Linked DNA regions of Ovis aries. The protein of the gene in region 1 purifies or fractionates together with the protein of each later gene. This does not show direct contact. Links are inferred from orthologs where the notes say so. Each region holds a gene or a part of one and is shown in the gene's direction. Other genes may lie near its edges.

Region 1 (4,168 bases):
CAACTGGGCTCTGTGCCCTGGGCTGACAAATGACACTTGTTTGTCTTCTTGCGAACAGAGTTACAGCACGGGAGGGTAAGTTGGTGACTGGGGAAAGCTGAGTGAGCAACTGCGCCAAGCAGGTGGGATCTCTGAACCTTAACGCCTCCAAGCCAGCCGCAGGGAGGCCTCGGGTCCATGTGGAAGGAGCCTGGGCCCCACCACTTTTGGGCCCCGGGGGGAACACCGGTTTTGAGACTGGATGCCCGGGTGGCACAATGATCTCGATATTTCGGGCTGGGAATTCGTGCATTTTGTGTGCCTTGAGAGACAAAATTAATTTCTCTGGCGGGAGGGAAACGGCTTTGCAAACTGTAAAGCGCTGCAGGAAAAAAGCAGTTAAATGAAAAGGTCAGGATCCAAAAGAGCAGATGCGTTTGCTGAGTGTAACTGCACTTTCAAACCCAGCTAAGACGACACGCAGCCCCCGGAGGTGGCACATTTTGGAGGGATCTCCTGGAGAGAGATTATATGTGGAGACTGAGAAGCCGATGGAAATTGACCAAAGTTTTCAGGGGTATCTGCAGAAGTGGGGACCCGACCGCAAACCTGCAAATTCTCCTTTATCTGCTGCACACGCTCGCTCATCTTCGCTCTGGCCGGAATCAGGGTAAACCGTTCCGATGATTATATAACTTCGCGAGTTCAAGAAAGATAATCCAGAGAGAGATGATGAAATTTTTTTGAGGGTAGATTAAAAAGAATTTTTTTCCCCAAATGTAAGTTACAGAGTGCACAAAAATGTGCATACAAATACCCATATTTCCACCACTCAGAAAGAATAACCTAACATTTTTATTTATCTGGGAGAGGACTTTTTAAATTAACCATCAAATGTATCTTTCCCTCCCCCCTAAATTCTAGCAAATTTGAAGCCAAAAAGAGTCAACCTATTTCACTGTTCACCTCTACCACAGATTTATCTTAAGGGGAAATTCCAGGACACCCAAATTCCCTCCGTGGGCTTTTCACATGGCCAGGTCTGCAAACACTTGGCCGCAGTGAACAGTGTCCTGCGGAGCCCGCAACCCTCGAGTGCACAGATGCATCTTCTCCCCCATCCCCAACTCCCGCGTTCAACTTTGCAACTCACGCTCCCGCCAGGGGGCCTATTTGCTCGGCCCGTTTGGCGGAAGGATTCCGCGCGCGAGCGCATTTACGCTCAACCGTCTCCTTCCCATTCCCGCGTTCTGGCCCCGCCTCCTTCAATCTCCCTGGCCCCGCCCCCTCCCGGGTGCCCTATGGCCCACAAAGAAGTCCCGGCCGGACCGCTGCACTCCCCCGCGCGCATTCGTGCGCCGCCCGAGGCTGGCTAAGGAGTCGGCGGCCATTTTGTTCTTCTCGTGGTTCCAGTGGGGAGAGAAGGAGGAAGCAGGGAGCGGGGCGGTTGGGGGGAACCCACCGCGGCTTCTGCCACCGCCGCCACCACCACCATCTCTGTGCCCGTGGCGTGGGAAAGGAGGTGTGAATCCCGGGCGCGAGCCGGCGGCGGCGCCGCTGCGGGAAGGTCGGCGGTGGGAAGGCGATGGCGGATATAGATAAACTCAACATCGACAGCATCATCCAACGGCTGCTGGAAGGTGAAGGGGGCGGCGGGCGGCTCCGGAGACTCGCGGGGGAGGGGGATTTGGGAGGCCTGTTGGGCTTGCTGCGCCGAGACGAGTGAGCCCCGCGAGTTCGCCCGCGGGCCGGGGACTGCCGCGGGAGGGAGGTTGCCCGGCGTTCCGCGCTTGGCCCAACCTGCGGACCCTCCTGGCTCCGCTCATTCATTGCTTGAGGGTGCAGCCTTTCTCCTGGCCGTGAAATTTGAAAACTCCGCTCCCCACCCCCACGTTTCCGGTACGTACCCCCGTGCGCCCGGCACTCCGGACCAATCTTTGGAGAATATTGGGGGCCCCAGTCCAACCTACTGGACTGCTCTTTCCGAACTTCGTGGTTCTCAATCTTTTGGAAAGCAATAAGATGCGGATATGGATTTCACCAAGCTTGAGGGCTTCTTTCCTAGCCTGCTTATTTTTATTTTTTTGTGAGGCTTGGGGTCGGGGGCCCAGTTACTTGTTACTCGGTAACGAACGTTCATTCTCAGAGAGATGTTGGAACCTGTCTTCTTCTACCCTCCCAGATATTCTTTTTAAGTTGTCTTTATCCCGGGGAAGTCTCCGCGCTCTTTTCTGAACCTGCCTCTGAATCGTGAAACCGGCAGTGATGACAGTTTCGTTAGGATCTTTCCAATGTGCCAAGCTCTGTTAAGCGCTTTGCGTTCACTGACTGCATTTTGCTGTCTTTTAGTCGCATCCGACTTTTCGATCCTATGGACTTCAGCGTGCCAGGTTTCCCTGTCCTTCACCATCTCCCGGAGCTTGCTTAAACTCATGTCCGTTGAGTCGGTGATACCATCCAACCCAACCATCTCGTCCGCTTCTCCTGCTTTCAGTCTTTCCCAGCATCAGGGTCTTTTCTAATGAGTTGTCTCCAGTACTTTGCGTGTGTCGCAAAAATCATATTAGCCATGCTTCTAAAGCGCTTACTGTGTGTAAGGCATTTTTTGGAGCTCCTTACACAGATTTCATGTAATACACCAGGTAGATGCCTTTTTTTCCTGACTAAGACCCAGAGAAGTGTAGTCACTTAACCAGTTAGTGACAGTCAAGTTTCAAACCCAGGCAGCCAGGAATTCAACGTCATTCAAGTCACCCTATGTGTGAAGGAAGGTGTCCAGTGGTTGAGCAAAGGTTAAAATAAATCTTCAGTTTTGACTGACCTAAAACTCCTGAGGTGTCTTGCGATTGATTTCTATTGATGTGGGATGGGAGAGGGATGAAGTTCGGATTTTAAGGAGAGACACTGAAATAAAATCACCCACCACCCCTGAATTCTAGAGCACATCTATTAATAATAACGTCTAATTCCTAACTTTGAAAGAATTCAGATCCTTTTCTTGAGTGTTGGATAATGTAGATTTGGCTGAGTTTTAACTGCATTTTTGCCTTTATATTCTAAAATATTGTTGGACTGTAAATGCTCAGAGATGGAGTCGAGCCTAAACAGTTGGACAGCTCTGATGTTAGAATTTACAGATCTTTTAAGTCATGAGAATGAAACTTCATCTTTTCTTAATCTCTGTTAAGGTTTTTTTCCTTTTATAGTGTCTCAAAACAAAAACTCGTTAAATGAGCCCCTGAAATGTCACTGCCATTTGTGGGTGAAAACCTTGTTCATTCAGTATCTGCCGTTTATTAGAGGAATCACACTTTTAATATTAGTTGATATAGTTCTTTGGTTTATGTGAGACAGCAGTGGGTCAGAAACGGATTAAAACAATTTGCTGTAGGAAAAGAACTTAAATTTTTTTCATTCAAAAATTGTAAATTCTGCATGTCTATGCAGGGACATGTGTGGCTTTATTTCTTTGAGAAAGCTGGAAAAAATGGAAGCTGTGGATTAGAAACAGAATTTTAAGATTAGTTAGGTCTTAATTGTGGGGTTGCCCATAACTTTTATATTCATATAACATCTTGTTAATTTTAATCTTATTTTTTAAATTGTGCTAAGGAATTTGCGTTGATTAACCTGGATCATTTACAGTGAGATCAGTCATTATTTCTTAATAGTTTCTATACATGTTATGTTGTGCTGGAAAACCAGGTTTTTTTAACATTTCATTTTTTTTCATTGAAATTAGTACAGCAGTGCATTTTCAGTCCTCGGGAATAAACTAGCTGCTCAACATTCTTAACGTTTGTTTTTTTTTTTTTTTTCTCGTCAATGTTAGATTGGCAGAGAAACTATTGAAAATGATCTATTGAAGATATATATGTATATCTTTCCAGGGTAGAAGATGTTGATAAGTTTTGTGATTTTTTTTTTTTTAATGCCTCACAAAGTTTTTCCTCTAAAAATTTTCATTAAGATTTAAGTATATCTGAAGATGGAGGGAATGTGAGTTTTATGACCTTTTTAGAATTTTTTACATTTTCAGAATTGTCTAAGGTGGAGGACTATACAAGCTAGTTGAGAAGTAGCTCAGTGATAGTACTAAAAAGACCATTCAAAAGTGAAGTCTTATCTAATGAAACGTCTTGCTTTAGGTTTTAGTCACTACAGCTTTGCAGTTATTTGCTACTCTAAA
Region 2 (2,164 bases), on another chromosome or scaffold:
CTGTTTTACTCATTCTTCAAAGGCCTTCCTTGATCCTTTGGGTGAATTAGGATTCTTTGGGTGAGACTGGTGCCAGTTGGCATAGAGAGAAAAAAGTGACTGGTTCATGGAAATGGCAACCTGCTCCAGGATTCTTGCCTGGAGAATTCCATGGATGGAAGAGCCTGGTGAGCCCCAGTCCACGGGGTTGCAAAGAGTCCGACATGACTGAGCAACTAACACTTCCACTTTTTTTCTTTCATGTAACTCAACAGCCCAGAGCCAGCATAGTTTCAGGCAACTCTTGCTTCCCAGTCACTTAGGCCTTGGTGTCTTTACCTTGAGTTCTCTTTCTCACACCCAACACCCTCCTTTGGTAAATCCTGTTGACTTTACCTTCAAAATGTATCCCAAATCTAGTCATTTCTCATCACCTCAACTGCTGCCACTGTGGTCTGAGTCTGCTTCTCTCACCTGGACTGCCTCCTCACTGGACTTCCTCTTCCACACTAGCTGTCCTTATCCCCAGTCAGTTCTCCACATAGCAGCCAGATGGATCCTCGTAAACCCTAGTCATTTCACATCCCTTCTCTGATCACAATCCTCCTCTGGCTCCCATCTCACTTAGAATAAAAGCCAGAGTCCTTACCATGGCCTGGTAGGTCTTACATGATCTTTCTCCCCTGCTTACCTCTGTGACCTCACCTTCTACAAACCCCCTTCACTGATCCTTCTCCAGTCCTGCTGGCCTCTCTGCTGTACCTCAGACATGCCAGGTGCACTCCCACCTCAGAGCCTCTGCGTTTGCTGCCCCTTGTGTCTGGAACACTCATCCTCCATCCTCCAATACGCTTCTTCATTTTAAGTCTTTACTCAAACGCGCTTCTCGGTGAAGCCATCCCTAAGCACTCTAATTAGAATTACAACCCCCACTCCTGCACTCGTTATTCTCTCTTAACATTTAATTTTTTCCTTGTACTTATAACCATCTGACATACTGCATATTTTATTCCCATCATTTGTTCCCCATAATGAGAATTTGAGTTCCACAAGGCCAAGATTTTTGTTTGCTCTGTTTGCTGCTATCTCCCAGTACCTAAAACGACCTGGTGTAGAGTAGGCACTCAATAAATGTCTCTGAATCAGTGCAGTCCAGATGGCAGCCAGGCATCTCTGCATAGGAGCAGCTCAGGTAGTAGGATGTCCTACCACCTACCGTGTGGAAGTCATACATAATGTAGGTAGTTCTTGAAGTGATGAAGAAGCATAATCCTCCTGCCCACTTCACCTTTCTTGTTTCTTTTCTCCAGGCTCAGCGACAGCCTCACCAAGGACTCCATGAATATCAAGGCCCATATCCACATGTTGCTAGAGGTGAGAGTAGCTCACTCCATTCCCAGACTCTATCTCCAAATGTTTAGGGTGGTGACCTGAGAACGAGAGAGAGCCAGAGATGGGAAGGACCATATTTTCCTCTAAACTGGAGTCAAACTAGAGCCAGGCTGGCTCGGAGGGAAGAGAGTTCTGAGCAAGCCTGGGATGGGGCCTGGACCCAGTCTCTGTTCAGTCTCTTATATTCTCTTTTTCAGGGGCTTAGAGAGCTACAAGGTCTGCAGAATTTCCCAGAGACTCAGCACTGACTTCTTCCTACCTCCCCTGACATTAAAGAGCCTGAATGTCTTTGAGTCACACGGCCCTTCTTTCCCCCCTTAACCCCTACTGTTTGCTAAAGTGCCCTGTTTCTAAAGCACAAAGTACTAGGAGGCCCAGAAATCCGGTCTGTGTGGGACCATTAATGCACCACTGAAGTCCTGCTATTTGACTTCTGTGCCCGCTCTACTGTTGCCTTGGCAACCTGGGCCCCCACTTGACACATTTCTTTTCGTGTACACTACTATGAATTACCAGAGAATGGGCCGATTCATGGTGGAGGTTTGCTCCCCAAAGCAATTCAGCCTTTCACTCCTGGCGGGAAGGTTTACCTTTCTCCCACACCCCAGTCGTTCCTCAGGTACCTTAAATTACACTCACGCCCATCTAGGCTCAACCTTGGCCTTGCCCCAGCCGCTAAGTAGTTCCAGCTTCCAGCAATGGGTCTAGGGCTGATCCCGCCCTCCCTGGTCTGGTCTCTATTCTAGGTTGAGTGCAGCTTCTGCCAATCCATGCAAAGCCAGGTTCCGCCTGT
Region 3 (3,500 bases), on another chromosome or scaffold:
TGCAGGATTTTCGGTCTAACTTGGCTAGACCAGTGACAATGGTGGTGTTGCCGGTGGGTGGGGGCTGGGGGGGAGGTGCTAATTTCAGGCAGAGGACCACTTGAGGGAACTCCTAAATGACTCGTGAACTAAATTAGTTAATTCTGTGTGTGGATGACATTTGCTTTCCTATGCTACTCAGATTGTGAGAACACTCTACCGCCACCGCCCTGCCCCATAGCTGACAAAACTAAAGCATTTATGTCTTTGTTTTGTAACAGCAAGAAAATGTATGCTTCAAATAAAAAAGACATTTACAAGTAAAAGTGAAAATGTACTCAGTATTATTCTCACTGCTTCTGTGGCAGCTCTAAACTTACGGAGGAAGCGTGTAGGTTCTGAAATAAGACTTTTCTGGTCTTTTGCCTTTTAGGAGGTTTCAGCCAAGAAGAACTTCTAAAAATCTGGAAAGGGCTGTTCTATTGCATGTGGGTGCAGAATGAACCACTTCTGCAGGTAACCTACAGTTCCCTGTGTCATGTTGCTGGACACGGGGCACCGGTGAATGAGAGACCTGCCCGCTTTATGCTGTATCCATCCCTGATGTACGGAAACAGATGGAAAACCATTGCTTCAAAGGTTCACTTTCCCACCACTTGTCCATAGAGAAAGGGGTGCAGGCATTGAAGTGAAATCTTTTCAAAGACAAACAAAGACACATAAATTAGATTTGTTATTTCTCTGTCACAGTTTCATAGGTTCCATGGTAGGTTTTACATTATAAAGTTTCTGTTTCCTCCTTTATTATTTGTGGTCAAAAATAGCAAAACGCTAGTCTAAGAGCTACCCGGCTCTGGGCCCAGCTCTGCCACAGTTAAGTGGGGCAGAGTCTTTGTAGAATGAGCAGTGATCCTGGAGCTGATGGTCTCATCACAATGGCAGTGGAGACCTGCCCAGGTGTGTGCACTCACCTGAACCCCTGTCTGCCGAGCACACCAAGCCCTGCCGCCAGAACTATCAGAGAAAGTGGTTTAAGCTCTTGAAGAGCTCTTTTCTGGTGTGTGAAACAGGCCTGTCTTTGTAGCAGGATAGGGTCAGCTTTGGGGGCGCTGTTTGAAGCCCCCTGATGTACAAAATGCCAGGGTAGGTTTTTACTTGTCTGGCTTTTACCTGCAGCTATTCCGCTTCCCCTGAGCCCTGTAGTGACTCACTTTGATTTCATGCCTTTACTCCACTGAACATGTTTTGAGTAGGACAGCAGAGCAAAATATTTTTAAGTTACATTCAAAGTGACAACCAACAGCTTTAGTGGAGGAAGGAAACAGATGAATGGGAACATCACTTTCAAGTCCGGGGTTCATTTAACATGGGTGAGAAAGACTTGAGTCTAGGTGAAGGCCCCATGATAGCGGTGAGGATTATTCTTCTTCTGTGGACACTCCCAGAGGCAGGTTTCTTCATAGACCCAGAGCCTGAGTTCTCCCCCAGACAAGCTTGTGCACCTCAGTAGGATGGCTCTTTTGCTTTCTGCTGCCTTGCCGCTGCTGCCTGTCTGCCAGCAAGCCAACAGGAGCCACATGGAGTGACAGTCCGGTATCTCACTGCCAGCGACGCCCCCTCGTCGCAGTTGGCATCTGCGTTTCCATTATTTGGGGGAATTCGGATGGAATCTCAACCCAAGTTATATGTTGAAAGCCAGGAGTTGAGAGCTGATGTTTCTTGTGTGCGTCAGTTGAACTCACCCTAGGCATAGCGTGTGTGAGCACACAGCCTAGTTCTGAAGGCATGTTGAGTTGGCACAATAGTCCGTTGAAACAGCATTTCACATGTAATGCAATCCAGGTGTTCAGATACACCCTTCTTAGTGGAGGTGACAGTGAGAATGGAGGGGCTGACCCCTTCCCACAGGCCGTGATGCTGTCCTCTCATGGTTCCACGTAATAACCCCGCTGTTTTTCCCCAACCCCACTTTGCAGGAGGAGCTAGCGAACACTATTTCCCAACTCATCCATGTTGTTAACAACTCAGAGGCTCGTAAGTCCTGATATTTTCGTGACTTTCAAAACCTGCTCATCAGATTTGGTAACTTGCCTAAGAAAGCTACTCAATGTTGTTTCTTCTCCTTCCTTCAAAGTTTCTATTTTCAGGGGGGCTAGCGTCACATGAGCCTGGGCACCGGGAGTGTGAATGTCAGGTGACAGACTGTCCCATGGGGAACCTGTGTCAGGCCTAGATACACAGTGAGAGGGTGAACAAAGGGCATCACATTCGGCGTCTCAGAGGTTTCAAAAGAGTCAAAAAAAATAACAGTCCTCCAGAGTTTCCACATTCTGAGTTACTTTAATGCTCTCAGAAGCTGTGTGTGACTGTGTGGTGCCACGGTTACCTCTGGATGCTGGTTGTCCTTGGGACTAGAGCCATTTCAGGTCATCACTGGTAACAAACTGTAAAGTAACCCCTCTTGACCAAAACGAATAAACAAAGGGAGAAGTTAATTATTAATATTTCTGAGACATTCAGCTTTGATTACTTACAGAAGCAGAGAAGGCAGAATTCACTGCTTTTGCTCAGCCCTCAGAACAGAACTATCCAATGGCCTTGTTAACGCTCAGTGATTCTCTGGATTTTAGCAGGCTCCCAGCTGACTCGTAAGGATCAAAATTCTGTACATGGAATATACTGTAGCTTTTCATATATCAAGAGAAAATTGTGCAAAAGGAAGTAAAGCAAAAAACAAACCGTTTTGGGATAAAAAGTGCTGGTTTCATGGCTCCGAAGAGAAAAACAGTGTTTTATTAAAGTTCACTCAGCTGACGCTGAACATGAAAACAGAAAGCTAACTCTCTGCATGGGTCCCCCAGGTGCCATCAGATGGATGGCTTAGGGCTGATTGTTCAGTGTATTTGGACAAGAAGGACCAGTATCTCTGGCTCAGGACATTTTTTGATTTTTAACAGAATCATGGCTTTTCAATGGATAATGAAACATGCTCCGGAGAGCTTTCTAGTCAAACATTAAGATATTACCACTTCTTGTCAAAATAAGCTTTTATTTAAATATAAAAAATTATCGAGCATTCTTAGTTACCAACGAGATTTTCTAGCTGCCCAAGAACCCTTGAGAAATCCTAGTCTGTTGCCCTTCGTGACCTTTCTTGTTCTGTGGTGACACGGCACCCTGCGAATGGAGCGCTCAGAGCCTCTTGTTCCCTGCAGAGCACTTGTTCATCCAGACCTTCTGGCAGACCGTGAATCGCGAGTGGCCGGGCATCGAAAGGCTCCGTCTGGACAAATACCACATGGTGAGGGTGGGGCCACAGCCCCTGACGGGCAGCTCGGGGTCGGGGAGGCGGCTGTGTGCGTCATAAGGTGACCAGCAGGGGGCACCAGAGGACGTGTTCGGAGACATCAGTTTTCTCGCTTCCAGCTGTCAGAGTCTGGGGCTCCTTGGTTAAGTGTTTGATCTAGAAGCTAATCTGTTAGTGTAGGAACTTTCCACTTTGAGGATCCAGGCTGTAGCTG
Region 4 (4,041 bases), on another chromosome or scaffold:
GCAAGAGACATAAGAGATGGACGTGGATGCAATCCCTGGGTAGGGAATATTCCCTGGAGGAGTAAATGGCAACCCACTTCAATATTCTTGCCTGGAGATTCCCATGGACAGAGGAGCCTGGTGCGCTACAGTCCGTAGGGTCACAGAGTCGGACACGACCGAAGCGACTTAACACAACACACATATGGGTAAGCAAGGTAGACAGAAGGAAATGTCACTTACATCTAACTTGAGGTAATATGATATGATTATTCTAAATCAATATGCAGCGTTAGTAGCCAACTGAAGATGAAACGCAATGACAAGGTCCAGGTAGATAGGTTATTTTATAAACTTGTAAAAATATGATTGGCGACAGCACACAACAGAGAGACCTCTTAAATTTGCATCAAGCAAACTGGACAAGCAATATAATTCTCTTCCTGGGAACGTTGCTCATGTCTGAGTAGAGCAACATTTTTCAGTTTAAACTGCACGGTGGTACAGGGTGGGCAGATAGGAACAAAGAACATGCACTACGATGTTGAATCTATGATTAAGGGGACGAGTGTGAGGGTATAAAACAGGGGCGAAGGAGTATTGGTCACAATTTTTACTCCTGGTCGTCTTCTGGGAAGGTTTAAGGTGAGTCAAAGCTTCTGGGAAATCCATCAAAGTCTGACTCTTGTTTCGTCTCTTACCGTTGCAAGAGTAAAGGAGTTCCGACAGCCACTTCTGTTAGAGACTTATTTCGTGAAAACCATACCCTTTGGCATTATCATTCCATTCTGATTCATCTGATCTCTCTTGTTCCTGCAAGTTCCTCCGCTCAGATTCCCCCGGAAAAATGTAGGCCAAACTCCCGCAGGTTCGCTCACACACCACTGCTGTTAGCGCGCTAACAGGACTAGCCTGGAGAAGGAAATGGCAACCCACTCCAGTATTCTTGTCTGGAGAATCCCACGGACAGAGGAGCCTGGTGGGCTACAGTCCATGGGGTCGCAAAGAGTCGGACACGACTGAGCACACAGCAATACTAGTCTTCGTGCCGGAGGGACCCACCCCAACTCTGACCGGGCCCGGGACTCAGCGCCCTGCCCACACGCCCACTGCGGGCGTGGAGCTCCAGCTCGGGTCTTTCTCGCTAGCGTAGAGCCCCTAACCTCATCCCTGACCCCGCCTCCGGTTCGGAGACTCGCCCCAGGCCCGCCCCGGCTAGAAGGCCCGCCCCGGCTAGAAGCCCCGCCCACGATCCCACCCCCGGAGTGGAGCCTGGGCCCACCAGCTACCGCCAGGCCGTTCTTCCAGGCTCACAGGACTGCTATGGCCGGGGGCCGCGGGGCCCCCGGGCGTGGCCGGGACGAACCGCCGGAGAGCTACCCGCAACGACAGGACCACGAGCTGCAGGCCCTGGAGGCCATCTATGGCGCCGACTTCCAGGACCTGCGGCCGGACGCGCGCGGACGGGTAGGAACTTGGCATGTCTGGTCGGGGCTGGCGTGCTGCGGCCCAGCCTCCCTTGGCGCGATCTACCCCGGCTAGGCCCGCCCGGCCTTGCCGGAAGCGAACACCCGACACCCACTTCGGATTCTGGATCCCTTTCATCCCTTACGATCCACCCGCGCTCACTTCTTGTCCTTGCACCCGCAGCCGCACGGCGGGTCTTCAGAACCCCTGCCTGGGACAAGTTCTCTTACAGCGTTTCTCCTAAATCGGCTCCCGTCTTACCTGGCCTTGCTTCTTATTCCCCCTGACGTTCCATAACATACCTGCCTCCTTACTGTCTTGTCTCCTTGGGTTTGATAGACAGCGCATTCATGGGGACCCATTGCAACTTTGGGAACGCTTTGAGGGCTCTTGCACAGATCTTATTGATGTCCTTAATCAGAAGTCTCACCCTCCGGTATGTGTTCAGGACTGTTAGCCGTGTAATTACGCTGTACCCCTCGGGCGTCCTCACTGTGTTGTGCGGTGTGGAGGAACTTTCCTCTGTGCCTGTCCTTCAAGAGTGTGGAATATATTCTTCTTAGCTGTAATGAAGAGGGAGTGTGCTGAGTCCAAACCTTTTAAAATGGCATTTGGCTAAAATAGTTTCCTTTTTGTCTGGAAATAAGGCACATTTTAAGCTGCTGATCCAGTTTTTTTCCCTCATCCTTGAAGCATTATCTACCAAACTATTGTTATCTATAGTATTTTTTTTAAAGTAGTACCTTTCTTCATCTGCCTTTAAGTCTTGGCTTTTTACAACATGCACTTTATCAGCACATGCAGGATTTGCTCAATATCTAGGATCTTCTGGAGCTGTCAGGGCAAAACATTCTCTCTCTCACCCAATGTGTTCCTTCCTTAACTATTTATTGTTCTAGGTATTCAGAATATAGTCCAGCACAAACCAAACCAAACCCTCATCCTTCAGGGAGCTTACTTTCCTAGTACTTAATTTCAAGAATTAAGACTGAAATAGTAGAAATGTTAATATTCCCCTTATACATACTTAGGAGAAGGAAATGGCAACCCACTCCAGTACTCTTGCCTTGAAAATCCCATGGATGGAGGAGCTTGGTGCAGGCTGCCATCCAGGGGGTCGCAAAGAGTCAGCAAGACTGAGCAACTTCACTTTCACCTTCATACATGCTTATAATAAAAGAATAAGGTAACTTTCTGGTGATCTGGTAACTTCTCAGTTCCCTTGAGAACCAGGAAGTGTAACTAAAATGTGTCACAAAGTGTACATTGGGACTCAATACAAAGCTCCTAAGACTTCATTCAGAGACAGTGTATTTAGTTTACACAGCTTAATTATCTGGTCCTAAGACTGCAAGAAAACAGAAAAGAACAAGGAACTGCTTGTGGGGATACTGATAATCTCAATTTATGGCTGGTAGCCTTTATAACAAGATAGTATAGTAAATAAAACCAAGAGTGTAAGAGGCAGGTAGAAGAATTCAGATAGCTGTACCCTGAGGTACATGGGCAAATATCCTTAACACTTTGCTAGGCCCCACAAGCAGCTAATTGGTAGTTATAAGGATGAATCAGAAGGTAGTCATTCAACATGGAGAACAGACTTGTGGTTGCCAAGAGGGAGGGGAGGGGGAATGGATAAACTAGGAGTTTGGGGTTAGTAGATGCAAACTATTACATATAGAATGGATAAACAACAAAATCCTCCTATATAGCACAGGGAACTCTATTCAGTATCCTGGGATAAAACATAATGGAAAAGAATATAAAGAGTGTATATATGTGTATAACTGAGTCACTCGGCTGTACAGCAGGAATTAACACAACATTGTAAATCAACTATACTTCAATTAAAAAAAGTTTTAAAAAGTTAAAAGAATGTAATCATTCAACAGGTACTTTTTACTTGCCGGTCTTTAGGGGAAGGTTATTCAAGTCCACAATCCTTTATCCAATCCCTGAGGCTTGATGGGTTTCAGAACTGGAAGTGTTTGTGTTCGTGGCCATGTGTGCACATTCCATGCTTATCTAGTACCTCCCTCAGTGGCTTCCCTGGCGGCTCAGATGGTAAAGCGTCTGCCTGCAATGCGGAAGACCGAGTTTGATCCCTGGGTCAGGAAGATCCCCCGGAAAAGGAAATGGCAACCCACTCCAGTACTCTTGCCTGGAAAATTCCATGGACGGAGGAGCAGGGTAGGCTACAGTCCATGGGCTTGCAAAGAGTGGGACACGACTGAGCAGCTTCACTTTCTTTCCCTCAATGTCTGGAGCAGCATCCAGAATCAAGCACAGTGAAACATGTGAAGGTTCGTGTTCACCCTCAATGGGATGTATAAAGACTATTAATAGCCTCATGTCAGTTCAGGCCAAATTTGCTGCCAGTAAATTCAGCTCAAGATTATTGACCTGAGTAAACTTTAATTTCTTAAACATCTGAAGTTTTTTAAACTCTTTTTGGGAGATGTATTATGAGGTATAGTTTCGTTTAGTAGCATATATATATATCATTAATAAAGAAACATTTTGGGAATACATGCTAAAAATTGTCTTACATACTAAATTTTGGACACTCATTGCTAGTTTAAAATAGGATTTCCT
Region 5 (3,500 bases), on another chromosome or scaffold:
TATTTGCATTACTGTTTGCATGTGTTTCCACATTATGTGTTAGTTTGTACTTTTACCCTTTTAGGCCTGAAATAACTTTCCTCCAATTGTCACTTGTTGTAGTAGAAAGAGCACTGAACTGTGGGAGTCAAGACACCTGGACTCTGGTTCTACCACTCACTGCTTGGTTATATAGCCTTGGGCAAGTCAGTTAACTTCACATCTGCACTGTTCCTCTGCACAGTGGGGTTGATATTGGTCCTGTCCATCTTTTATGGAGTTGTTAGGCAGATTCGAGATTATGTATGTGAAATTACTGGGGAAAAGACCAGAGTACATTTTCGTGGGCTTTTAGGACGGACAGACCAATCCTTGAATACTGCCTCTGCCATTTACTGGCAGTTACCTCTTTGAGCCTGTTTCCCCACTTATAAAACAGGACCAAAAAAAAAAACAGGACCAAATCCTACCTCAGAAAGTTGTGTGAGCATAGATGACACCAAGTATTTAAAGCACTTAGCATGGTGACCAGCATGTTGTTAAGCATCAATGGAGGATAGTATAGCCCTCTGTTCTTTGCTTGCTTGTTGACCCGCTGGAGTAAGATCCAGGAACAAACCCAGGCTGGAATAAGAGGCCAAATTTTTCTCCCTCAGGAGTGAAACAACATTTTCTGAGTACTTACTTGCTGAATGCTTCCCCATGTATGGTTTCTATTAATCTTCTCAAGAATTAGGTGAGGTGGATATCATTGTTGCTTGTTAAAGATAATGAGCCAAAGCTCAAGGAAATTAAATGACTAGACCCAGTCCCACAGTCAGTAAGCAGGAGGGCCTGGGCAAGAACCTTCTGAATCCAAATGCTGTGTTTTTTCCATCAGCTCATAAATAATGTAAACAAAACCAAAAGGAAATTGTGGAAACTAACCTTTTCGTGTTTTTTCAAGTCAACGTCGGTGAGGACTGTCCGGTATTTGATGGCCTGTTTGAGTTCTGTCAGCTGTCTACTGGTGGCTCTGTGGGTAAGGAATATACCCTTCATAAGGGCTATTCTGGGCTGTACCAATGAGGTCTGTCTTTTAGGCCACTGTCCTAGTGAGGCTGACCTGTGACCATGTAAAATGGTCCTGGGTGGGTTTTTATGTTAGGTCCTTAAAATGTTATTCTGCTTCAGTCTGAGGCCAGGTTCAATCTGACATAGTATAGATATGTGTCCTAGCCTGTCCTTTCCTACTAAGACATCCTGTATACAGGAACTCCCTGCAGACCTCATGGGGTTGTTGAGATGCTGAACATAAAAGTAATTTGTGAACTGCAAAGTGCTGTAAAAATAGGAAGTGTCATCATCTGTGTCTTACAAAAGAGCATGGTAATTACATTTAGAGGTCAGAAACACTTCCCGCGTATCTCCCACTTCCATTAATATCTATGTTATCTCTGGGATCACTCTACCATTTCTTAACAAATATTTATTTTTCTGTGATCATTGTTTTTTCTCCTTGCCTCTCCCTACCACCTCACAATATAATCTCAGAAAACAAAGAAGTATACAGAGGAAAAAAACTGACTGCAATCACACTGTCATGGATAACCGTCATCACCATTTTGGTGTTTGTACATCCATGCTTTTTTCTTTGTGCACGTATCCAGACAAAACGTATACTCATCTATATTTTACAAAAATGTGTATGTATAGTTTTGTGCCTCCCTACTACATTTTTTACTTAGTAAATCTTTTTTTTTTTTTTTTTCCGGTCATGCCATGTGGCTTGCAGTATCTTAGTTCCTGAACTAGGGATTAAACCTGGGCCCGTGGCAGTGAAAGTGTGGAGTCTAACCACTGAGCTGCCAGGGAAGTCCCTACTTAGTAAATCTTTGAAATTTAGCTGTAATAAGGTTTAGCATGGTATCTAGTGGCTACATGATTATTCTATGTTATGGACCAACCTCAGTTGATATAATTAGTCCACTCAAGTTGCTCTGTGTTGGTGTTTTTTTGGTTTTTGTTTTTTCTACACCATGCAGCTTGAAGGATCTATCTTAGTTCCCTGGCCAGGGACTGAACTTGAGCCCTTGGCAGTGGAAGCATGGAGTCCTAACCACTGCACTGCCAGGGGATCCCTCATGTTCTTATCGCTCTTAAAGTCATACTGCCGCAAAGGCATTTGCACACATGGTGTGTATTTTTCTCGCACTTCTTCTTGGGCCTATTTGTACTTCAAGCCTCTGTCTGCTACATTTGGTATCTTCAAAATATTTTGACCATGAACCACAGTAAGAAATACATTTACACTTAAAATCCTGGTTATGGACACACTCGCACACACACATCCTCTCTTGCTCTGCAGCTAGTTTCACAAAAGAGTGGTTACCTTTACTGTTAACTCTGCTATTTTTATTCTATAGTCTATCTCATTAAAAAAAAAAAAAAAAATATATATATATATATATATATATACACACTAACCATAGCCCACTAAACCAATTTTAAGGCCTATTAGTGAGTTTTACCACTTTCAGTTTGGAAAACAGGTTTTCTAGAGTAGCCAATGTTGTGTTTATTCCCATTGGAGTAGACAGAGGGAGAGGGCTAGCTGGTGAATTGTACAGTTCACCTGTTAAATAGGCAGGTCCTATCTCTCACTGGGTTCCCATGGTTTTTTGGGGAAAGGAGAGAGAGGGACTTTGTGACAGGCTTGTGTTCTTTCTTCCGGTGCCCAGCAAGTGCCGTGAAACTTAATAAGCAGCAGACGGACATCGCTGTGAATTGGGCTGGGGGCCTACACCATGCAAAGAAGTCCGAGGCATCTGGCTTCTGTTACGTCAATGATATCGTCTTGGCCATCCTGGAACTGCTAAAGTATGCCTGCCTGGCCTTGTCTCGGAGGAGCACCTTAGGCCAGGTCCCCACTCCCTCTCCCCCGGGCTTGCCTCCCTAGTTTGCCTTTCCTAGCGGCGTGCCGGCTAGGATGTGTTTGGTGAGTGTCTCTGGCCATCCTCTCCTTGACGAGGCCTTGATTGGATCTGAGCCCACGGCAAGATCAGGGGCAGGTGCTGCTCAGATCCTGCCTCCAGAATGTCCCTGTGTGGCTGGAGTTGACCCTGGCTGTAGAGTAGGAAGATCGGACTTGGTCGGCTTGGTCAGGCCTCTGGAGACACCCTGCCGCTCTTCCACCTTCCTTCAGCCAGTTTCCACGTCTCTGGTGCTTAGAGATACCTGAGGGAGGCAGCCAGCCCGGTAAGCTGGGCCCTGGCGCCCTTGGCGCGTCCCATTCCCAAAGAGCCCCCAGAACCCCCTGACCCCCTTCTGATCCTAGGTATCACCAGAGGGTGCTGTATATTGACATTGATATTCACCACGGCGATGGCGTGGAAGAGGCCTTCTATACCACAGACCGAGTCATGACTGTGTCCTTTCATAAATATGGAGAGTACTTCCCAGGAACTGGGGACCTACGGGTGAGAACTCCCTTCAGGGGCCAGCCAGCTCACCCTCAGCTGCCAGCTCTAACTCTCCTGTCT
Region 6 (3,500 bases), on another chromosome or scaffold:
GCATGGCAACCCACTCCAGTATTCTTTCCTGGAGAATCCCATGAACAGAGGAGCCTGGCGGGCTACAGTCCATAGGGTCACAAAGATTCAGACACAACTGAAGCAACTTAGCACACACGCACACATAAGGACTAGAGGTAATACACATGATGGATTAAGCATGAAGACACTGTTTCTTGAAACTCAACACAGGGTCACCAAAACCCTTTCTGGAAAACTCAATTCTAGTGCTGTATCTTCACTGCAACACTGTTGCTGTCGCTACTCCAGACTCCTACCAGTCACCTTCTAGTTAACCCCTCTTTACGAATCATGAGCCTTGTTCTGATAGTGTGCATTTTAAATTGTGTTCTTTGCTTTCTTCCTTCAGATCTGTAAGAGCAAAGCTAAAGAATCACAGCAATATTATCACAGCTTGGCTATCCGGCAGAGTCTGGCTGTCCACTTTAACATCCAGCAGGACTGCGGTCACTTCCTTGCTGAAGTTCCTAAGCGCCTGCTTCCCTGGGAGGATCCCGATGCCCCCGAAGAGGAAGAGGATGACATGGAAGCAACAGAAGAGGTGAAAGGGGAAGCTGATGGGAAGGACCCAGACCTGGGCTCCGAAGCAGAGTCGTCCCACAAAGAAAGCCAGGCAGTCGTCAGCAGGAAGCAGAGAAGCCACGTTGTGGTCATCACCAGAGAGGTTCCGTGTCTCACAGTGGCCGACTTTGTGCGAGACTCCCTGGCGCAGCATGGGAAAAGCCCGGATGCGTACGAGAGGCAAGTGTGTCTGCTGCTTCTGCAGCTGTGCTCGGGCCTGGAGCACCTCAAACCCTACCATGTCACCCACTGCGATCTGCGTCTGGAGAACCTGCTGCTCGTCCACTACCAGCCTGGGGGGCCCACCCAGGGCCTGGGGCCTGCAGAGCCCAGCCCCACCCCGTCCTGTCCCACGAGGCTCATCGTCAGCAACTTCTCCCAGGCCAAGCAGAAGAGCCATTTGGTAGATCCTGAGATCCTCCGGGACCAGTCCCGCCTCGCCCCGGAGATCATCACGGCCACGCAATATAAAAAGTGCGACGAGTTCCAGACAGGCATCCTCATCTATGAAATGCTGCACCTGCCCAACCCCTTCGATGAGAACCCAGAGCTGAAGGAGAAGGAGTACACCCGGGCCGACCTGCCCCGCATCCCGCTCCGCTCCCCCTATTCCCGGGGCCTGCAGCAGCTGGCCAGCTGCCTCCTAAATCCCAACCCTTCTGAGCGGATCCTCATTTCAGATGCCAAAGGCATCCTCCAGTGTCTGCTCTGGGGCCCCCGGGAAGATCTCTTCCAGACTTTCACCGCCTCCCCCAGCCCCGCTCACAGGAACACCCTGCTCCAGAACTGGCTAGACATCAAGCGCACACTGCTCATGATCAAGTTTGCCGAGAAGTCCCTGGACCGGGAGGGTGGCATCAGCCTGGAGGACTGGCTTTGTGCTCAGTATCTGGCTTTTGCCACTCCGGACTCTCTCAGCTGTGTTGTGAAAATCCTGCAGCCCCGTTAATATGTCCCAGTCACTGGTCTTACTTCATGTGTCACCTTCTTCAAGTTGCCCACACACTTCCCCCTCCTGGTATTCATACAGAATTCAAGGAAAGAAGAGAGACAAGCCTTCCCTCCCCATCCAAGTCCAGTGAGACGCTGAGTCCATCTTAACATTAGGGAAAGTCAGCCGCACATATGTGCAGCTGCCATTCATGGGAACACCTTCCGCCCTAACTGTCCCCAAGTGCAGGAAATATGAAGATGCATCCTTGAAGTGACAGCTCCTCTGGTTTGAACTCCATGAGCTGGGTCAAGTTCCTCCGGAACTCTGAGTATCACCTGTCTTTTTAACATCATGTATTTATTCTCACTAGCAATAGACAGATTTAACCAGTACTTACCATCATCTACTAAACTTTCACAACAGACTTTTTTCCTTTAAAGGATCAATAATGGGCCCTCTTACCAGGCAGAACTGCCATCCTTAGCATCAGCCCAGTTTTGGTTCTGGGAGTTGCATCCTTTGTTCTAGCAGAGGGTAGAAGGACAAGAAGAGAGCATCCATCCTTAGGGTCATGCACCCATTTGGTTTCCATTATCAGTAAGTGTGTGCACTGTGTGGAGGACGGCCCTAAGTCTCCCCTCGTGCTGCCACTGCCTGAACCTCCTTCACCTTGGTTCTGTCCCCACTTGCCAGTGAAGTTTGGGTGTATCAGCCCATGACAGAGCTGACCCAAGGTGGTATCACCAGGGCCCCAGGAGGGCAGAGTGCAGATCTTACAAATAACTAGCAGGACATAAGGAGATGGTGTTCCTGCACGTGCCGTTCTCTAGGGGCCATCAGGGGAACAGAGTTTAAAGGACAGTTCTTTGATTACTGTCAGAGCTGTCAGCCTCGGCAGCCAGGGCTACCAGTACCCAGATCACAGTTTTCCCCTGAGCCGTAATTGGCCAGCCTCCTTCTATCAGCAGCCAGTGTTAACTAGTCTACCAAATGCTGTAGACAACAGCTCTGCATGGAAATGGCTATCCTTTGAGCTGTAACAACTCCCTCAAGGGCACAGTGTGGCTGGCTGTTAGGATGGCCAGAAGGCAGAGGAAGGGGAGAAGGCCACTGACGAGACCGCCAACCTCCGCCTCGCAATGCCCACGTTGTCTAGAGAGACTGCCTCCCAGCTGCCCAGGCACATTGCTCCCGGTGACTCAGAAACACCACTGAGGGCAGCTCATGGGGAGTTTGGATTGCTGAGGTGGGTGGCCGAGAGCACCCTGCCTGGGGTCTGTGCTCCCCTCCTACGGATACATGTGCAATTTTTGTATGTATTTTTTTTAGCTGTATGTACAGTGTCTATGTTGCAACTTCACCTGAAGCAATATCCACAGAATATCCCCTTCTTCCCTTGGCACATATTTGCGCTGAGACGAGTGTCCCTTCCACCCACAGTGTGTGTGTGTGTGTGTGTGTGTGTGTGTGTGTGTGTTATTCAAAACTGTGAGTCTCTGTTCTGTTTACTTCAACTTTGAAATCCCAAGAGTCGCTCAGACAGTGTGAGTGTGTGTACACGCGTATACCCATGTGTGTGCACATGCCTGCTGGAAGTAGAGGCCAGGCCTCTGGGGGAGCAACCTGTGGCAAGGTTGACAGACACATCCTCTGCCTGGTGGGCAAGATGGCCCTGGGCCCCGCATCAGCCGATGCAGAGCTTGTTAAAGCCAAGCCTGATTGTGCAGTATTATTTAGATAGCACGTTAGTGGCCTTTTGGTAATTTCTAAACTTTTAACATTATTAACCACCTTTCATGTGATTCACCTATATCAAAGAGGATCAAGAAAGGAGAAGAATGTATTTTATCGTGCTCTTCTTTGCTTCATTTTCTTATTTTTTGAGAGAATGGGAGTCATGAGGCCCATCTGGGGGATGCCCTGTCCTCCCGGCCAGCAGGTCAGGACTTCCAGGGAGGAGAGCTGGTTGGCCCACACAGAGTCC
Region 7 (4,213 bases), on another chromosome or scaffold:
TTAAGAGATTTTCTGAAAACTTTAGTTTTCTTTTCAGTAAAATAAATAGTATATACATCTCATGGGCTCTTTTGAAACTTGGAAGTGATTGGATAATATATATAATTAATAAAATGCCCGGGACATCAAAGGTAAAGTACCACAGAGTGAGTGCATATTTGAAATAAAATGAAAAGCCTTCTCAGTTTTACTACCAGACCCAGCACCATACAAATCACTATCTCACTAGCTAAGATCCATCTAGTACAGCCAGCAATTAACTTTATTGATGCTCTATCCAGTGCTCAGAAATAATCATATATTATGCATCATATACAATACAAAGTGCTTCTGATTTTCTTCAATAGGAAATAAATGCCTATAATATGAGGGTCTCCCCTACATTGTTCACTTATAACACTCTACATTTGGTGGTGTGCCACCCTGTATATATGGTGATGTTGAATCACTAGAACATAAGCTCCAAGAGGGCCAGGAGTTTGACTCAACTGTGTGCTATTATGTCCTTAAAATATACAATTAATAACTATTAAATGAATGGATACAACAATAGTAACATAAGAATAACAAAAATTCAGATCATACTATTAAAAATATCCTGAGAAATAAACGATGAATTCTCTTAGCAAACACATCTGCCTTTTTTTTTTCCAGATATATTTTTTTTTTCCTTTTTATAGTTACATTCTAAAATTCTAACTACAACCCAGGACTTAAAAGCCCACTGCATCCAATAATGAACTAGGCCAATAAATTTGAATAAATTTATTTTGTAATGCCATCTTAGAAAGAAATGGAGAAACAGTCATACAACAAATAGTTTCAGTCAGCAGGCACTAAGGGAATGAGCCTGGGGTTCCTGAGCAATGAAGCCTGGGCTCTCAAACCAAAAGTCCTGGACTTTCGATTAATTTAGATGAATTGACCCCAGTTTTGTCCACGTGAAAGTGGCTGGAAGGAACAGGCCCTTATAGCTTCCAGATCACGGGACCTATGCCTTGGAGGCCTCATTGCTAAATAGAGAACAGGAGAAAATAAACACCCAAAACCCATTAATCCATACCCAACAGGCTCCCCCTCTCCCCCTAGCAGAGGGCATGGCCAAGCCCTGCCCGCACTCGTCTCACTCACACCCTGAACCCAGGAACCGGGCCCGTGCCCACGGTCTGAAGGCTTCCTGAAGATCCCAGGTGTCTGCCTCCCACCTGCAGCTGCAGCCTAACCCCGCCCACCTCGGCCAACGCCTCCGGAAGCAGCCTCCGCGTTGCCACGGTGACGCGGAGTTAGGCAGCTTCTAGTGCTCCGCGCCGCTAAGACGCCTGGAGCCAATCTGCAGCGCGCCACGGCCACGTCCTGCGTGGTGACGTCACGAAGACGGAAGCCAATGAAAAGAGGCGCTGAGGAAGCTGGCTTAAGTTTGAATCTCGAGGCTGAGTTTGAATAGCCGGGTGGCGGACATTCGAGTGAAACTTTTTGAGCCTGAGGTGAGTGTAAGGCTAGAGGAGAAAACTGGTCTCGGGGGCTTTTTTTGGATGACCTATCTCGGTGGAAGCGGAGAGGTCCCGCCGCCTCAGGAATAGAGGACCCGGTGGGCTTGTTGACAAACACGGAAGCGTTAAGTGCGGCGATGGGATAGGGTTGCGGGTGGGCCTGGTTAAGGTTCCTTGGGGATAAAGTGAAAGGAAGGAACTTGAGAACGCACTAGAATGTGGCTCTGCCTGAACGAGAGTCCTCGACGGCTCAGCAGGAAGATCAGAGATCTCCTACCTGAAATTCTGAGGAAATCGGAAATTTTAAAGGGCATCCTGGCTCTTTTCCCAGACTTTGGTTGAACACTAACTGTTCAGTACCTTACAGTGCAAAGTTCCTTCAGGACTCCATATACAGAGTGTTTTGTTTTGAAGTATAGCTCTAGGCTTAACTATCAGATGAGGAGCCTTGGTTCACCAACTTGCAAGCTTTTTGTCCAGCGAGGTTCTGCTGTTAACCTGTCAAAGATCAGCTGGGAACCTTCCCCGAGCCCCAATTGTAGCATCAAGATAAAACCTGCCAGCAGTGACTAATGGGTTTGCTGAGGATCAGCCAGGCTATGGAAGAGATACTGGTAGTTGATGCTCTGCAAATGAAAAATACTTAAAGCACTGAGAATCAGTTCTTCTACCATCGTTTCTTAAGTGTCTGCGAGATTCGCCTTGAGGAGTGTTCATTAGGCACTCCGTTTCAGAGAAGTCAAGGCTGACTGCTGTTTATGACATTATTGGGCCAGAATTGAAAATTTGTGTTGTATAGTGTATAGGTTATTAATTTTTAACAACCAGGTAGGATGTGTTAGACATTCTACAGGTTTCAGTTGATAGTGTTATTCTACCATGGTCAGCGACCCCATCTCGGATTTTGGTAAATATTTATGAACTTTGTTGCCAGAGAACATGACATCCAAAGGTTAGATACTGCTTTTTATTTACTTTCTACTATTTTGTAGGAATTGTTTGTTTCAGTACACAAAGGTTACCTGCCTTTTAACGGTAGAAATTGGCACCTCTTCTATTACTAAACAAGTATTTACAAATACACAAAGTTTTCATTTTAAAATATATCTTGTTCCACTCTAAATATATCTTGAATCAATTAAGGTACCCAATAAAATGACTTTTATGCTGTCAACTCTGAAAACTAGAAGGAAAAAAATAGTCCAGATGTTAGTACTGCCCTTCCCTCCTTTCGAAATTTTCATTCTTCCTTGATGCTTGCAAATTACTAGAATCAATGGCTCTAGCACTCAAGTTATTTCCAATAAGAGGATTAAGTTACATAGAGACTGTACATGATAATGTGGAAGGTAGTTCCTGGTCCTAAAAAATGTTTATGGAATCTGCATCAAATTCAAATTTGAATTTGTATTTAAGAAATAATTTATAACTGTATTACTCCACACCTTCAAGAAAATTTATACAACACTTCTGCTCCATTTTTTGAAAGCCTTTCGTTTTGATTCCAATAGAGCATAGCTGCTAAGAACATGGATTGTAGATTTGGACCTGGATCCACATTTTGTCTTCTCATTTAATCGCATGTCATTTTGGAAAAATTCCTTATCCTAAAACTAAGTCTCTGTTTTTGTAAATTGGAGTCAGTAATAGAGTCTACTTTATATTTTAAGGATTGAATGAGATGATGAATGTCAATTGTTTATCATAATGCCTGGCATACAGAGTGTACTCAAATGACAGCCACTGTTCATTATTACTAAGTATCACCATATCCACCTAATTCCAGAGTTCTAAATCTAATAACATTTTCTGGAAGTAGATACTTATCCAACTGGCACAGAAAAATCATGAACTTCCAGTTTTGTTTCAACATTCATTGCAAGAGCCCCAGTACTAGGCCCTGAGGTTTCTATCAAAAGTGAAGATAGTTTAACTTCTTCTATCAGAAAATATCTTAGAGTTATATATTTATCTCATTATAGAGAGGATGATTAAATACTTGAACTTTAAGTTCAGTCAGTCAGAGTTCAAATTTCATGTCTTGTGCTTCCAATAATGTGACTTCAGCCAGTTAACTTAACCTCTCTGTATTACAGTTTCTCTTTATATAAAATAGGTATGATTTTGTATCATATGCTATGATATAAAATCCTATATCATAGGGTTGTTACAGAGATTAAATAAGTATGTAAATTGCTTAGCACATTTCTATTTGTAGAATAACAAGTCAGGAAAAAGTATTCCAAAGTTATTAAGAGAAACTTTGAGGTAAATTTTAATATTTTTTGGTTTTGTTTTTGAGATAAAAATACCTAGACTTGTTTAAAACCCAAAGAGTACAAAAGAATATAAGGAGAAAGTAAACCTGCTTGTCAATTATTTTCCCACATCAAGCAACTGTATTATCAATTTCTTGTGTTCTCTTCCTGAGAGAGCCCACACACATACAAGTATGTATATGTCTTTTGAAAATACAAATGGTTGAATACCATATCCACTATTCTGCATTTATTTTTTGAACACGTATCTTGAAAATCTTCATTAGTTCATTCATTCAGTTATTCAACAAGTATGTAAAAATTTCTAAATATATGACAAGCCCTTTTCTAGTTTCTGGAGTGCAGATAAAGTTCCAGTTCTCATAGTGCTTGCATTTTAGAAGGGAACTAAGCAATAAATATGTAACCAAATAATATATATTTTCCAAGTAGTTTATATTGCCA

The links.
Region 2: the proteins of PPP1CC (region 1) and UXT purify together in Homo sapiens (affinity purification with mass spectrometry; 4 studies listed by BioGRID and IntAct, counting the BioPlex papers as one, with this or other methods). This does not show direct contact. The link is inferred for Ovis aries from reciprocal best matches to the Homo sapiens genes PPP1CC and UXT.
Region 3: the proteins of PPP1CC (region 1) and RRP1B purify together in Homo sapiens (affinity purification with mass spectrometry; 7 studies listed by BioGRID and IntAct, counting the BioPlex papers as one, with this or other methods). This does not show direct contact. The link is inferred for Ovis aries from reciprocal best matches to the Homo sapiens genes PPP1CC and RRP1B.
Region 4: the proteins of PPP1CC (region 1) and EIF2AK4 purify together in Homo sapiens (affinity purification with mass spectrometry; 3 studies listed by BioGRID and IntAct, counting the BioPlex papers as one, with this or other methods). This does not show direct contact. The link is inferred for Ovis aries from reciprocal best matches to the Homo sapiens genes PPP1CC and EIF2AK4.
Region 5: the proteins of PPP1CC (region 1) and HDAC1 purify together in Homo sapiens (affinity purification with western blotting; 4 studies listed by BioGRID, with this or other methods). This does not show direct contact. The link is inferred for Ovis aries from reciprocal best matches to the Homo sapiens genes PPP1CC and HDAC1.
Region 6: the proteins of PPP1CC (region 1) and PEAK1 purify together in Homo sapiens (affinity purification with mass spectrometry; 6 studies listed by BioGRID and IntAct, counting the BioPlex papers as one, with this or other methods). This does not show direct contact. The link is inferred for Ovis aries from reciprocal best matches to the Homo sapiens genes PPP1CC and PEAK1.
Region 7: the proteins of PPP1CC (region 1) and KIF18A purify together in Homo sapiens (affinity purification with mass spectrometry; 4 studies listed by BioGRID and IntAct, counting the BioPlex papers as one, with this or other methods). This does not show direct contact. The link is inferred for Ovis aries from reciprocal best matches to the Homo sapiens genes PPP1CC and KIF18A.

What each region holds. Positions count from the first base shown.
Region 1 is NC_056070.1:54,611,194-54,615,361, reverse strand, and holds the start of PPP1CC (serine/threonine-protein phosphatase PP1-gamma catalytic subunit), read left to right. Parts: upstream 1-1,368; 5' UTR 1,369-1,564; coding exon 1,565-1,619; intron 1,620-4,168. UniProt on the Homo sapiens protein: Protein phosphatase that associates with over 200 regulatory proteins to form highly specific holoenzymes which dephosphorylate hundreds of biological targets.
Region 2 is NC_056080.1:57,175,278-57,177,441, forward strand, and holds the end of UXT (protein UXT), read left to right. Parts: exon of another isoform or gene 1-1,289; coding exon 1,290-1,413; 3' UTR 1,414-1,568; coding exon of another isoform or gene 1,569-1,619; 3' UTR 1,620-1,664; downstream 1,665-2,164. UniProt on the Homo sapiens protein: Involved in gene transcription regulation. Acts in concert with the corepressor URI1 to regulate androgen receptor AR-mediated transcription. Together with URI1, associates with chromatin to the NKX3-1 promoter region.
Region 3 is NC_056054.1:264,416,695-264,420,194, forward strand, and holds part of RRP1B (ribosomal RNA processing protein 1 homolog B), read left to right. Parts: intron 1-412; coding exon 413-495; intron 496-501; exon of another isoform or gene 502-564; coding exon of another isoform or gene 565-618; intron 619-1,955; coding exon 1,956-2,013; intron 2,014-3,194; coding exon 3,195-3,280; intron 3,281-3,500. UniProt on the Homo sapiens protein: Positively regulates DNA damage-induced apoptosis by acting as a transcriptional coactivator of proapoptotic target genes of the transcriptional activator E2F1.
Region 4 is NC_056060.1:33,800,389-33,804,429, forward strand, and holds the start of EIF2AK4 (eIF-2-alpha kinase GCN2), read left to right. Parts: upstream 1-1,241; 5' UTR 1,242-1,302; coding exon 1,303-1,446; intron 1,447-4,041. UniProt on the Homo sapiens protein: Metabolic-stress sensing protein kinase that phosphorylates the alpha subunit of eukaryotic translation initiation factor 2 (EIF2S1/eIF-2-alpha) in response to low amino acid availability.
Region 5 is NC_056055.1:235,235,998-235,239,497, reverse strand, and holds part of HDAC1 (histone deacetylase 1), read left to right. Parts: intron 1-925; coding exon 926-1,000; intron 1,001-2,699; coding exon 2,700-2,838; intron 2,839-3,295; coding exon 3,296-3,437; intron 3,438-3,500. UniProt on the Homo sapiens protein: Histone deacetylase that catalyzes the deacetylation of lysine residues on the N-terminal part of the core histones (H2A, H2B, H3 and H4).
Region 6 is NC_056071.1:30,021,288-30,024,787, reverse strand, and holds part of PEAK1 (inactive tyrosine-protein kinase PEAK1), read left to right. Parts: intron 1-370; coding exon 371-1,531; 3' UTR 1,532-3,500. UniProt on the Homo sapiens protein: Probable catalytically inactive kinase. Scaffolding protein that regulates the cytoskeleton to control cell spreading and migration by modulating focal adhesion dynamics. Acts as a scaffold for mediating EGFR signaling.
Region 7 is NC_056068.1:57,559,651-57,563,863, reverse strand, and holds the start of KIF18A (kinesin-like protein KIF18A), read left to right. Parts: upstream 1-1,413; 5' UTR 1,414-1,484; intron 1,485-4,213.